Linked DNA regions of Nothobranchius furzeri. The protein of the gene in region 1 interacts with the protein of each later gene in a pairwise test. Links are inferred from orthologs where the notes say so. Each region holds a gene or a part of one and is shown on either strand. Other genes may lie near its edges.

Region 1 (3,122 bases):
AGCAACAAGTAAACATCACGTAAAACGTTGCCTCGTGAGTTCTGCGTGCTGCCGTTTACGTGTTTTATGATCACAGCAACTAACCGGCTAAGCTGTATTTAATTTTTAAGCAATGGTTGATCAATTGTCAGATCACACATAAAAAGCACTTTGGATTGCTATTATCTGTCTCACCGAGACAGATCTCAGACAGATCCTGAGACGCTCCTGCCTGACCTATTTATTTTATTCACGGAAAAAACAATCAAACTAGTGATTTCTCTTGGTGTTCAGTTTATACAAACTGCACCATCATATCTGTGTAACGTTCTAGCCCGATACGTTCCATCACGGCCACTTAGATCTACCACATTGGGCCTTTTGGAAGTTCTAAAGGTAAATCAGGTCACCATTACGTATACCAGATGTGTAATGTGCCTTGGTGTGAGCAGATCCAATGAATTTAAAAGTTTGATAATAGTTATATTTTCTAACATGAGTGACTGATACAGCTTGGCTGTGGGAATTTTGACATTTAAACTGACATTGGCATGTAAAATAGCAGCGTATGAACCAGTGTAGAGAATATCTTCTGCTTTAGTTGTGTTGCCTTGCAAGTACAGGAAAGCAGGTGGCTTTGTGAAAGAACAATAATATTGATGTAACGGTACAATATCATATCTGATTCTAAATGATCCCAATTTGGTAATAATATCGGTGTATCGACCAGACCTAGTTGTGATAACATGACTCGTATTGTAGCAGCTGAAAAAGTCTTGAAAACATTGTGGAAAATCATTTCAAGAAAAGAGTGGGAAGATGGGAGGGGATATGGCGAGCAGCCACAGTGGCAGTGAAGTGGAACTGTTTTATCTACAGGCGTACTGCAGGGGTCTCTAGTGTGCGGTATACAGCTTCTAATGTGGGACACGACCACTCTCTAAAGCTGAAGTTAGGGCCGGAAGTCATTCGGGCAGGATTTGGGGGTATTTCTTGGGGGTTTGTAACATGTGGGGACAGTGCATTGGCTGAGGGACAGGTTGAAATTTCAGGAGATCGCATCAGCCAGCTCATTAGCTTCAGCTTCACTTTTGAAGTAGAATTGCTGACATAAATGAACTTTTGCAACAGATTCTCATTCTTCACGTTTCAACTTTTGATGAAATCTGCTGTTACAAAACATAGAATTGTTAGAAACCTGCCAAAGGAAACAGCGTCATGTTTATAATGACGCACCCACAGCTGTCCCTCACCTGGTGGGTTGGGTTAAGACTAAAGCTGATGGTGTGTCTGTCCTCAGCATTACCGGCCTCAGATGTTTCTGGACAACCTGACAGGCAGGATGCAGAGTGCTGCTACAGCCAGCACCAGCTCAACTTCTCTCTCCTCCACCAGCCACTATGACGCTAGCAGACATGCTGCCGACTCCATCCACGAAGCTAGGGTCATCACTGGAGAACGGGTGACTGACGGCAGCATATCAGACATCATCTCCCTGGATTGAATCAGGGTGCTAAGCGTCACTGACCTTTTTGACGTGAACAGTTTTTTACGCAGGCATGTTCTTTTCTAATGTCTTTTTAAAATGTAAAGTTTTCTTTCTGTCCAGCCTGAAAAAGTAATGATCACTGTAACCTTTACGTTTTGTGCCAAATTAGATGTTTTATTTCAGCCATATCACATGGACAGGCCTCATATCTGGTACCAACAGGCATCCTGGACCTGTTACAGGTGGGAGTGCTCCCACAGACCATTAACACCCAGCTGTTACAGATGAGAGGACCAGTCACTGAGTCCACGTGACCTCATCAGCTGGATGTGTGCTTGTTCTCCTGGTTTTCAGGATGAAACGGTGTAAAAGCCATAGTTCAAACCAGGTTCAGAACCTGCCTACATCTATGCAAGAAAAATTGGCGTTAGTTGGGCTTTTTCATTAATGATTGAGCTCCAGGTTCTGCTGTGAGTCTGAGCTGTCTCAGACTGCTGGGGGTGGCAGCGTGTCCGTTCACATGGAGCTGAGATATGAGCCCAGATTCAGGATGCGTTGGTGCCAGATCAGAACAGGCCAAAGAGAGGTTAGGGTCACTGAGAAAACCGGCCTTCGGTGTTTCAGAAACACCAACTGGGTCAGATAGATCCCCAACATATAGAACCTGTGTGACATGGGAGACCTGCCCGGTGCATGCTGGGAGATCATGGCAGCATAAATCATGGTGAGTGGAACAAACCTTCCTACTGTGAATAAAGTCCATCTGCAGCTCATCTTTAACAAGTCTGAGAACGCATGCACCATGATTTCTGGATGTCAGGTGACAAAACACGTCTGCCTCTCAGCTTGTCGCAGTTCTGTCCTCTGACATGCCCATGCCTTGTCATACTGTCATGTTTTTATTTTGGTGTCTGCTGAGCTCAGAGGCTGGCCTGGAGCACCCGACTCTAAACTTCCTACATCAGGACTTCCTCCTAACTTGTGTTAGATTTTCTGGATTTGTAAGCTTTGCTTTGTGACATCATTTTTTTAAATAAACTTTTTCTACAGAAAAGAGTTGATCATTCAAGTGAGCTTATTCATATAGCACCAAATCACAACAAGGTCATCCCAGTGGACCAGTACAGGTCAGGGGTCTCATTTATAAAACATGACGTACATACGCCATGTACGTCACCTCGTCCCGTTCCCTCAGGTCCTCCTCCATTCATCTCTCTGTGCCCTCCTTCTGTCTCAGCACCATGGGGAGTAGAGCCTTCAGCTGCACCGCTCCCAAACTCTGGAACTCCCTTCAGCCTCTCATCAAGAACATTAACTCATTCACAGAATTCAAAAAAACAACTCAAAACTCACCTCTTCATAACCACATATCAATCTTGAATTTTAGAGTGCCTTGTTTGCTGATGTTTACGTATGTTTACTTTGTTTTATTGAATGATTTGTGTTTTTATTCTGTACAGTGTCCTTGAGTGACCAGAAAGGCGCTTTTTAAATAAAATTTATTATTATTATTAAGTAGGTTTGTGACCTATAAAACATGGGGTACGCACAGCTTCACGCAATCGCCCCTTTATAAATCACTCTACCTGGAAAGGTTCTCAGGTGTTTCTGGATCACACCCTGCTCTCAACACGCCCCCTTACTGCCATAAATG
Region 2 (3,755 bases), on another chromosome or scaffold:
GAGCACTGCTAATGTATAGAGGTGTAGTGTAGAGTTCAGGGGAAGTTCTGCTGAGTGTTAAGATGAATGCTGCATGAATGTTTGTCCCTCCTGCTCTAATAAACGTTTTTATGGATAAAGTTACGTATTGCTTGCTTTACTAACTGCAAAACATAACAGTAAAAAAGTAGAATTTTTTTCTTTCTTTCCTTCATGAAGAGTGATTCATCATTAACCATTTAATTGTCGTTTTAGTTAATTTTGGAGCACATAAAAAAGGTTTGTATAGGCTTGTAGGACAGGTGCCGCAGTTTTGTTAGAGGTGCAACATTTTCTGATTATTAGAGATTAAGTTGTAACGCAAAAATTCTTTGGCCTCGAATTGGGGGTGCTCAGGCTCAAGCGTTAATATTTTTACATGTTTTTTTTTCTAATTAATTAATGGTAATTAACATGTCAAGTCCCCACCCCTAGTTTCACTTCCTCTAACAAAACATTTTAGAGGACCATTACAGCGAAAATGAGCCTCAAACCAAGAACATAAAGCCTATTAGTGCTAAAAAGACAACAAAGATGCTTTCCTGGTTGAGCAATGACTTAAAACTCAGCCCACTCCTAGTGAACACTGTTAAGGTCTGACATCTATTTGCGGCTTTTGTGCACGCTGACGTCCACCTCTCCACCAAAGATTGATTGTCTGGTTTTATGTAGGATGAAGTGAACTGGATGAAAATTCATAAAGCTGCAGTGGAAAATGTGTAGATACTAAATGTAACTTTTTTACCCAGTGAAAAGGAAGAAGGAACATTAATGTAGCTTCTTATGTGCAAATTCATAAAAGGAGTTTCAGCAGTGAGATACAGGACTGCAGGGGGCTGATTCTCCCAGGAACTGATTTTTAATCAACTTTTCAAGCCCAATAGCATTGGTTAACAAAGGCTAAATAAAACATTACCTTCCTGCAAAAAAAAAAAAAAACTGCAACATAATCCACATGACACTGATTTAATGTTTGTGCATGTGAGCACATTTTAATCCATATTATAGTGTCACTTCTCTGGGAACAGCTAAACGATTTGGGGCAAAGGCGTCTTTTCGTCCACTGACTAAAAGAGAATCAAATTATTCTTGAAAATGCTTCTTGTCTCGAAATGAAATAAGATAAATGCAAATGCACATCTGCAGAAACTCGCGTCTCATCTCTCACTGGAGATTGGGTTCATCTTCGGTATCAGTGAAGAGAAACTCTCCTGCAGCGATCTGCATGCAGAAACATTCAGTGTTCATCCCAGCGGTTATGGCTCAATGCTTCACCAGTTCAAGAAATCCCAGAGGCTAAGCTCAAACAAATAAGAACAACAAAAAGTTAAACATCAGCCAAATGCAGTGTAACATTATCATTTCTGATGCATTTCAGCAATATTCAGGTCACTGCCACTAGTGGAAAAGGTCAGAGGTTAACCAAGCTGAGGGTGAAGAGGTGTGCTTCATCAGCACCACATGGATAGAGGGAAGAAAAAAAAGGAGGACAGAGGGGAGAGAGAAAGTCGTGTAAAGTAGGTCAGGGAGAAAACGTGATTGGCCACAAAACACCACCACTAGCATCAAACCCGTGTCATGTCCAAAGACGCTGTCCTTTCCATATGTTTTCCTCAGACTGAGTCCAAATTTGTCTCCAAATGACGCTGTGTTGGATGCCTTGGTGCTGATAACAGTCACGTTTACTGGACGGGTTGGCAAGCATGCAACTTGCTGGCTCGCTCAGACCGACAAGCAGAGACAGCTTCTTCCCCTCACAGACTTACATGGTGTTAGAGCCACCCCTTGCCCCGCTGCAACGCTTTGCGAGGAGTTGCTAAGCACAGCCAATATTTCACAAACACAGCAAAAAAGGCAGCCTGACATCCTGCTGCCATCCTGGACAGCAGCAGCAAGACCGCTTCATTACTGACTTAAGATCTGCGCTACACTCAGCTGAGCCAAGAAGACCATATGATGATGCTGCAGATCGGTGTGGCGAGGACTGATGATGCATTTCTTTCTTCTTGAGTTTTATATCAGAAATTATTAATCAAAACTTCCAGCAGAAGGAAGAATAAGATTGTGACCTTAGATTGGTCAGCATGACAGGTGTGTGTGTGTGTGCGTATGTGTGTGTTCATTTCCTGACCTGAGGGTTTCCACCAGCCTCTGACTCCGGAGCCTTTCTTGGGGGTCTTGAGGGGATGTGGCTCTTGAGTGGTGCTGAAGGCAGGGCTAAAGCTGATGGTCTGCTGGGAGTCTGGGGGATGGGGAGGGCACTGTGCACGGGTTTGGGTTTGGGCAGTCCAGACTTCATCTTTGAGGCCACCAGGATGGCTGGCATCTTCTCCTCTCACTCCCTCACTACCAGCTTACGCTCGCTCCCTGTCACGCTCAGATGGAAATCCTGCAGACCGTCAGTAAGAATCCCCTCTTACTCGCCCAGGGTGTGGCCAAATCACTGTAGCAAACATCAGAACTGCTTGACGTGGGATGTGTGGTGCGATTTGTCAGTGTCCTGACCTTAGCTGCTCCAGCTGGATCTGAGCCGAAAAGGTAGCAAAGCGTGCCAACATGCAGTGCAGAGGTTTAAAACCCCCAGTTCCCACCTGCTTTACATCACCAACCAGCTTCAGCTTAGGTACAAAACATTCAAACGTCCAAGGTTGGTATAAAATTCCTCTAGACAAAAATGTCCCATAAATTCCAGCAAGCTCATTGAAATCCCAATGCCACACGAAGAGAAATTCCCATATGCCGGGTGGGAGTGGGGGGATACCTTCTGCTTACTCCCAGTTCAGAGTGAGAGTCAGCAATTAACCACGTCTCATAGCAAGCTGAGCCTTTCCTCTCCGATAAAGCCTCAGAAATTAAACCATCAGTTCTGGATGACAGGAGTGAAGACCTTGTTTTATCATGAAAAGCTGCGCAGAAACAGATGGAGATAAAAAAAAAGAAAAGGCAGAAACAACGCAGCGACCGTTCGCTCCAGCGACTGCTCAGCCTGTGACAGCGCAGCCTGAAACGCAGCACTCTCTACCCCGCTGCTGCCTCTCTCCCTCTCTGGTAAGTCGTGTTTAGCAGCAGGTGTGGCTTAGATCAGAATGACATATGTGGAGAAAGGCTCAGCACACACATCCGTGGAGTCGTTTTCCACACAGTCTCTCTTTTAAAACACCACGAAAGATATTTATTCTCATCACAAATTTAAAAATCCTATTTCACAAGATTAAAATTTTGTTCCCATGAGCAATAAGCAACATTATTATTTGGAATTATTTCATTTGCTCAAAGTTTAAGATCCTTTCTTATAAAAACTGATGCAGGCGGAATCATTTTCAAAGCTTGTGAAGTCCAGCAGAGACATTATATTGATGGATTCTCCCTTCTTGTCTTTATTCCATAGTCTTTTAAATATGAATGATGGCCAGTTAGTGGACCGCTGCTGGACTATTCCAAACCCCAGCGGGCTCTAAGAAGCTGCCGAAGTTGTCGACTTAAATCTTACTGCAGCGCCAAACAGAAAAGTGAGGAAATACAGCCTGCAATTCCACTCATCCCTCCACTCTCATGGATTTTAGAAAGTAAAGACAAAACATGTTTGGATCCACCTTTAATAAGAGCAAAAAGCTGAATCCAAAGTCAAAAGTGATTTCACATTGTTGTCTTCGGTGTGAATTTAGTGGAGTGTTGGCAGATACTGGATCAGAGGACAGTCAACATCCAACAGACCTTTTTTCACACGTGCATATTTG
Region 3 (3,755 bases), on another chromosome or scaffold:
ATCTAAAAAATTACAATAAAGGTGTTTTTTTTTTTGCGTCACTCAGAAACTCGTATAGAAACATCAAAGAGAAATATTTCAGCCTTTCATTTCCTGTACTTGTGAGAATTCTGACTTGAAATGAGAAAATGACATCAGAGCAAATAAAACGGATCATTTAAACATCAGGATTCCAAAAGGTTTATTTCTACACGCTGAAACATTTGTGGTTGGTTAGGGTTAACCCTTACCCATCAGCCTTGGTTAGGTTAACCCTGACCCGTGTGAATCGGCCATGATGCTCCGACTCCAGTCGACCCCTGGTCAAGCTCCACCAGATTCCTGAATGGACTTGTCTTCACACAGCAGCTCATGCTTGAACATGCAGTTTCTGCAGATGTGAGCAGCTGGAACCATTAAGTCCAGTTAATACGGTTCCAGTTCTGCTCTTCATGTTCTCACTTCTTCCTCCTGACCAGCGTCCAGCTGTCCTCGGTGTCCTGTGGGGGATGAGGGGTTGAGCTGCCTGATGGGGTGGACTCGTCACACTCCATTGCCTGCACACACGGGTCGTTTTTTATTTGACTGTTGCCATGGTAACCTGTAACTTTACATGGTGATGCAACAAATATTTAAATCTCTTGTTTCCACTGGATGACAGATTTATGAGTATGAATTGTCTCCCACTCATCTGAACAGCAGGTGACCTCTGGTTCAGAACCAATCAGAGGTAACTGGGTCCAACTGGTTCCAGCAGACCTTCAAACCAGACCTGTAAGATCCTAAATCCAGCTGGAACCAGTCGGATCTTTGATTCAACTTTAATCCCATCCAATGATCAATTAAAGAACATCTGGAGCAAACAGATGTTTGGTTGTCCACAGGTTCTGACCCGGTGTTGCTCTGATTCTGCAGCCATGTTTACATTTACAAAGTGAAGCGCTGATCCATGTGGTCACATGACCAGATAAAAGTTAAACCAATCACAGGTGATGCTTACCGGAGCTTCATCAGTGCTCTCATCAGACTCAGTAGGTGGAGCCGTGACCTTTGCCCTCTGCGACCTGTTTTGAGTTAATGTGGTAACCTTCTGTTGAAGCTGTTGCAGCGCCCCCTGCTGCCACAGACCAAACACCTGCAGCAGATGGAGCGACACCTGTGCACAACCGGGAGGTACCTGGTTACTACAGGTGAGATAGCATCCGAATGACATGTCACAAGTGTGCGCATACCTGGGGCAAACTCCCATCCTCCACCATGGTGTTGAACTCTTGATCCATCAGCTCAGACAGGAAGTCCTCAACCTCATACTGCTGCAGGTCAGCTACACACACACACACACACACACGTGCATAAGGGACAAACAGGAATTGAGCTGCTGCTTTTCAAAAGTAAAAGGTTGAAGGTCACCTGACCAGATGTTCTGTCTGCTGTTTCTATGGTTACCTACTGTTGTCGTAGAAATACTGCTGAATGACATCCACCATCCACTCGGCCTTCTGCTGGCCGTAGATGCCTCCGAAGCCGTTGTCCACAGCAATCTGACAAACACACACATTTACGTCTCGGACCCACCAGAACTTCACAGGCACTGAAGAAGATGCTGTCACATCAGGCTGTTTCCTGATAACACTGATTGGTTACTAAAATAGAGCATTTGGACTAGCAGTTCTCTCCACCAATTATCTGCAGGTGGGCGTGGCTGACCCATGTGGGCCAAACCCTGGTCAGCTGCTGAAGTTTTGTCTAGAAAGTGATTCAAGATAATTACTGCATATCTTCTAAATAAATATAATTACTGCGATTATACATATAATTAAGACCACAAAACAATATAAATACATGTCAAATTCGTGGGGTAGGAGTTCGCCCTGTAACCGGTGGGTAACAGTAGCCTGACCAGCCAGATCCACGCTTTCTTAAACAGAACACGAGTCTGGCAGGCCAGGCCAGGGTAACAGGGGTGTTCGTACCCAGGCTCCATCAGTGTGAGTTGTGCCTTTGGGCAAGCCTTGCTATTGGTGGCCGCCCGGAGGCACCGGTGGCTCCTGTAGCATGCCCGGGGCAGCTGTGGCTACAGTGTTGAGTGTGTGTTATCCATAACTTAACCCTAACCGAGTCGTGTCAGAACTTTAAATCAAACCGGTCCGTCTAGAGGGAGTTCGGACGAACCAGAACCAGAATCACATCTGCACTGAAGTCCAAGATTTTTTTCAAAAACCATAAAAGCCTAAATAAAAACACGTGAACCTGTTAGCATCGGTCTGTTAGCTTCCGCAGATCATGTCTCTGTCCGTCTAAACGTCACATGTTTGTATTTCTGTGAAACCACCTGTCCGTCTCAGGTGGACCTGGTTCCGAAGCTCACCTGTAAAACCGGCCATGTGTGAAGAACCGCCCGAATTCCGTCTGTAAGTAGCTCACGTGACGCCTTAGATGTCGCCATGCTAGTTGTAACCGGGTCGATGAAATCGGTAATCAGACAAAAGCAACAGCTCATGATCGGAGTTCAGATCCGGGCACTAGAGCTGGTTCTGTAAAGCCTGCAGGTCCAGGAGAGGAGAGCCGGAGGTTTTCTGATTAATAATTGATGAAAAGTTTAAATACAAAATGTGGTAAATAAAAATAATAATACCCCTAATCTTCCATAAACTCACTAGCCTGGCAAGCCAGACTAAATAAATGTATTATTTATGTGTTTGAAACCCCTCTAGAGGGCTGTGATTGGCCAGCCAGAATGCTGTTAGGGGCTGCAGAGGTTCCAGTGGAGCGTTCCTAGACCAAACTTTGCAAAGTTTCAAGAAACTCCTGAAGACCCTGCTCTTCAGAGAGCATCTTCTTAACTAGCACCTTGCCTGCACCCGTCCCCCCTCTCTACTGTCCACTCCTTGTTCCCTCCTCTCCATGATTGATGTCAATGTTGTTGTTATTGTTGTTGTTAGCCTCAAGGGCAATATGCCGATTATCACTTGTAAGTCGCTTTGGACAAAAGCGTCTGCTAAATACATAAACATAAAGCAAGAAGTTGGTCTAGTTCACTAGGCTATAAATTCACCTGCTCTGAAATCAATTTCAAATAGTAATTTGTATAGAATCAGTTTACAAAGGCTGCTGAGTTTAAATTTGATGTAGTTTCTGTCACTTATGTCAACAGAGATTAATCAACTAAAAATCTTTTCTGTGATAGAATTTTAAATATGTGGAAGTCTCTCAAGGAGAGGCTAACATTCATTTAAACAATCCCTTCGTGGATTGAGTTTGGTAGGCCTACTGTAGAAAAAGATAAGCACACCTAAATTCTAATCAGTATTTTATTCTTATTAATAATTATTTTATACATAAATGACATCATTCGGTTCACAGAAACTCCTCCCATAGTGTATCATCCGGCCAGCCGCTAAAAGGGGCGTTTTGGTTTGTACGCGGGAACGACCCCCTGGTGTGGGGGCTGGGGGGTGCATTGACATGGTCGGGACATAGGGGAATGCATGGCCAAATTAGTTTGGGAACCGCTGTTCTAGAAGATATGAGGAGAACATTTCAGCTGTTTGTCAGCCACACAAGCCTTCTTTACAATAGAGGAAAGCTGGCACAGTCCTCCTCCTGAGGCTCATAGCTTAAAAACCGTAATACCGGGATTATGGTTTAGCTGCAGGCCTACAGGGGTGGACTGGGACCAAAATTTGGCCCTGGGGTTTTAATGAACCATCGGCCCTCGACAGGGGAGGTTGCTGCTTGCGACTCGTCTATCCCGCCAAATGTGGGGGAGGGACGGG

Evidence for each region.
Region 2: the proteins of pias2 (region 1) and nav2a interact in binary tests that used the Homo sapiens proteins (3 or more experiments, as listed by UniProt). The two-hybrid records come from large-scale screens. The link is inferred for Nothobranchius furzeri from reciprocal best matches to the Homo sapiens genes PIAS2 and NAV2.
Region 3: the proteins of pias2 (region 1) and tsr2 interact in binary tests that used the Homo sapiens proteins (3 or more experiments, as listed by UniProt). The two-hybrid records come from large-scale screens. The link is inferred for Nothobranchius furzeri from reciprocal best matches to the Homo sapiens genes PIAS2 and TSR2.

What each region holds. Positions count from the first base shown.
Region 1 is NC_091757.1:21,012,060-21,015,181, forward strand, and holds the end of pias2 (E3 SUMO-protein ligase PIAS2), read left to right. Parts: intron 1-1,279; coding exon 1,280-1,483; 3' UTR 1,484-2,524; downstream 2,525-3,122. UniProt on the Homo sapiens protein: Functions as an E3-type small ubiquitin-like modifier (SUMO) ligase, stabilizing the interaction between UBE2I and the substrate, and as a SUMO-tethering factor.
Region 2 is NC_091749.1:51,507,739-51,511,493, forward strand, and holds the start of nav2a (neuron navigator 2), read right to left. Parts: upstream 2,549-3,755; 5' UTR 2,345-2,548; coding exon 2,150-2,344; intron 1-2,149. UniProt on the Homo sapiens protein: Possesses 3' to 5' helicase activity and exonuclease activity. Involved in neuronal development, specifically in the development of different sensory organs.
Region 3 is NC_091755.1:47,643,092-47,646,846, reverse strand, and holds tsr2 (pre-rRNA-processing protein TSR2 homolog), read right to left. Parts: upstream 2,444-3,755; 5' UTR 2,426-2,443; coding exon 2,348-2,425; intron 1,521-2,347; coding exon 1,430-1,520; intron 1,304-1,429; coding exon 1,212-1,303; intron 1,136-1,211; coding exon 980-1,135; intron 537-979; coding exon 438-536; 3' UTR 157-437; downstream 1-156. UniProt on the Homo sapiens protein: May be involved in 20S pre-rRNA processing.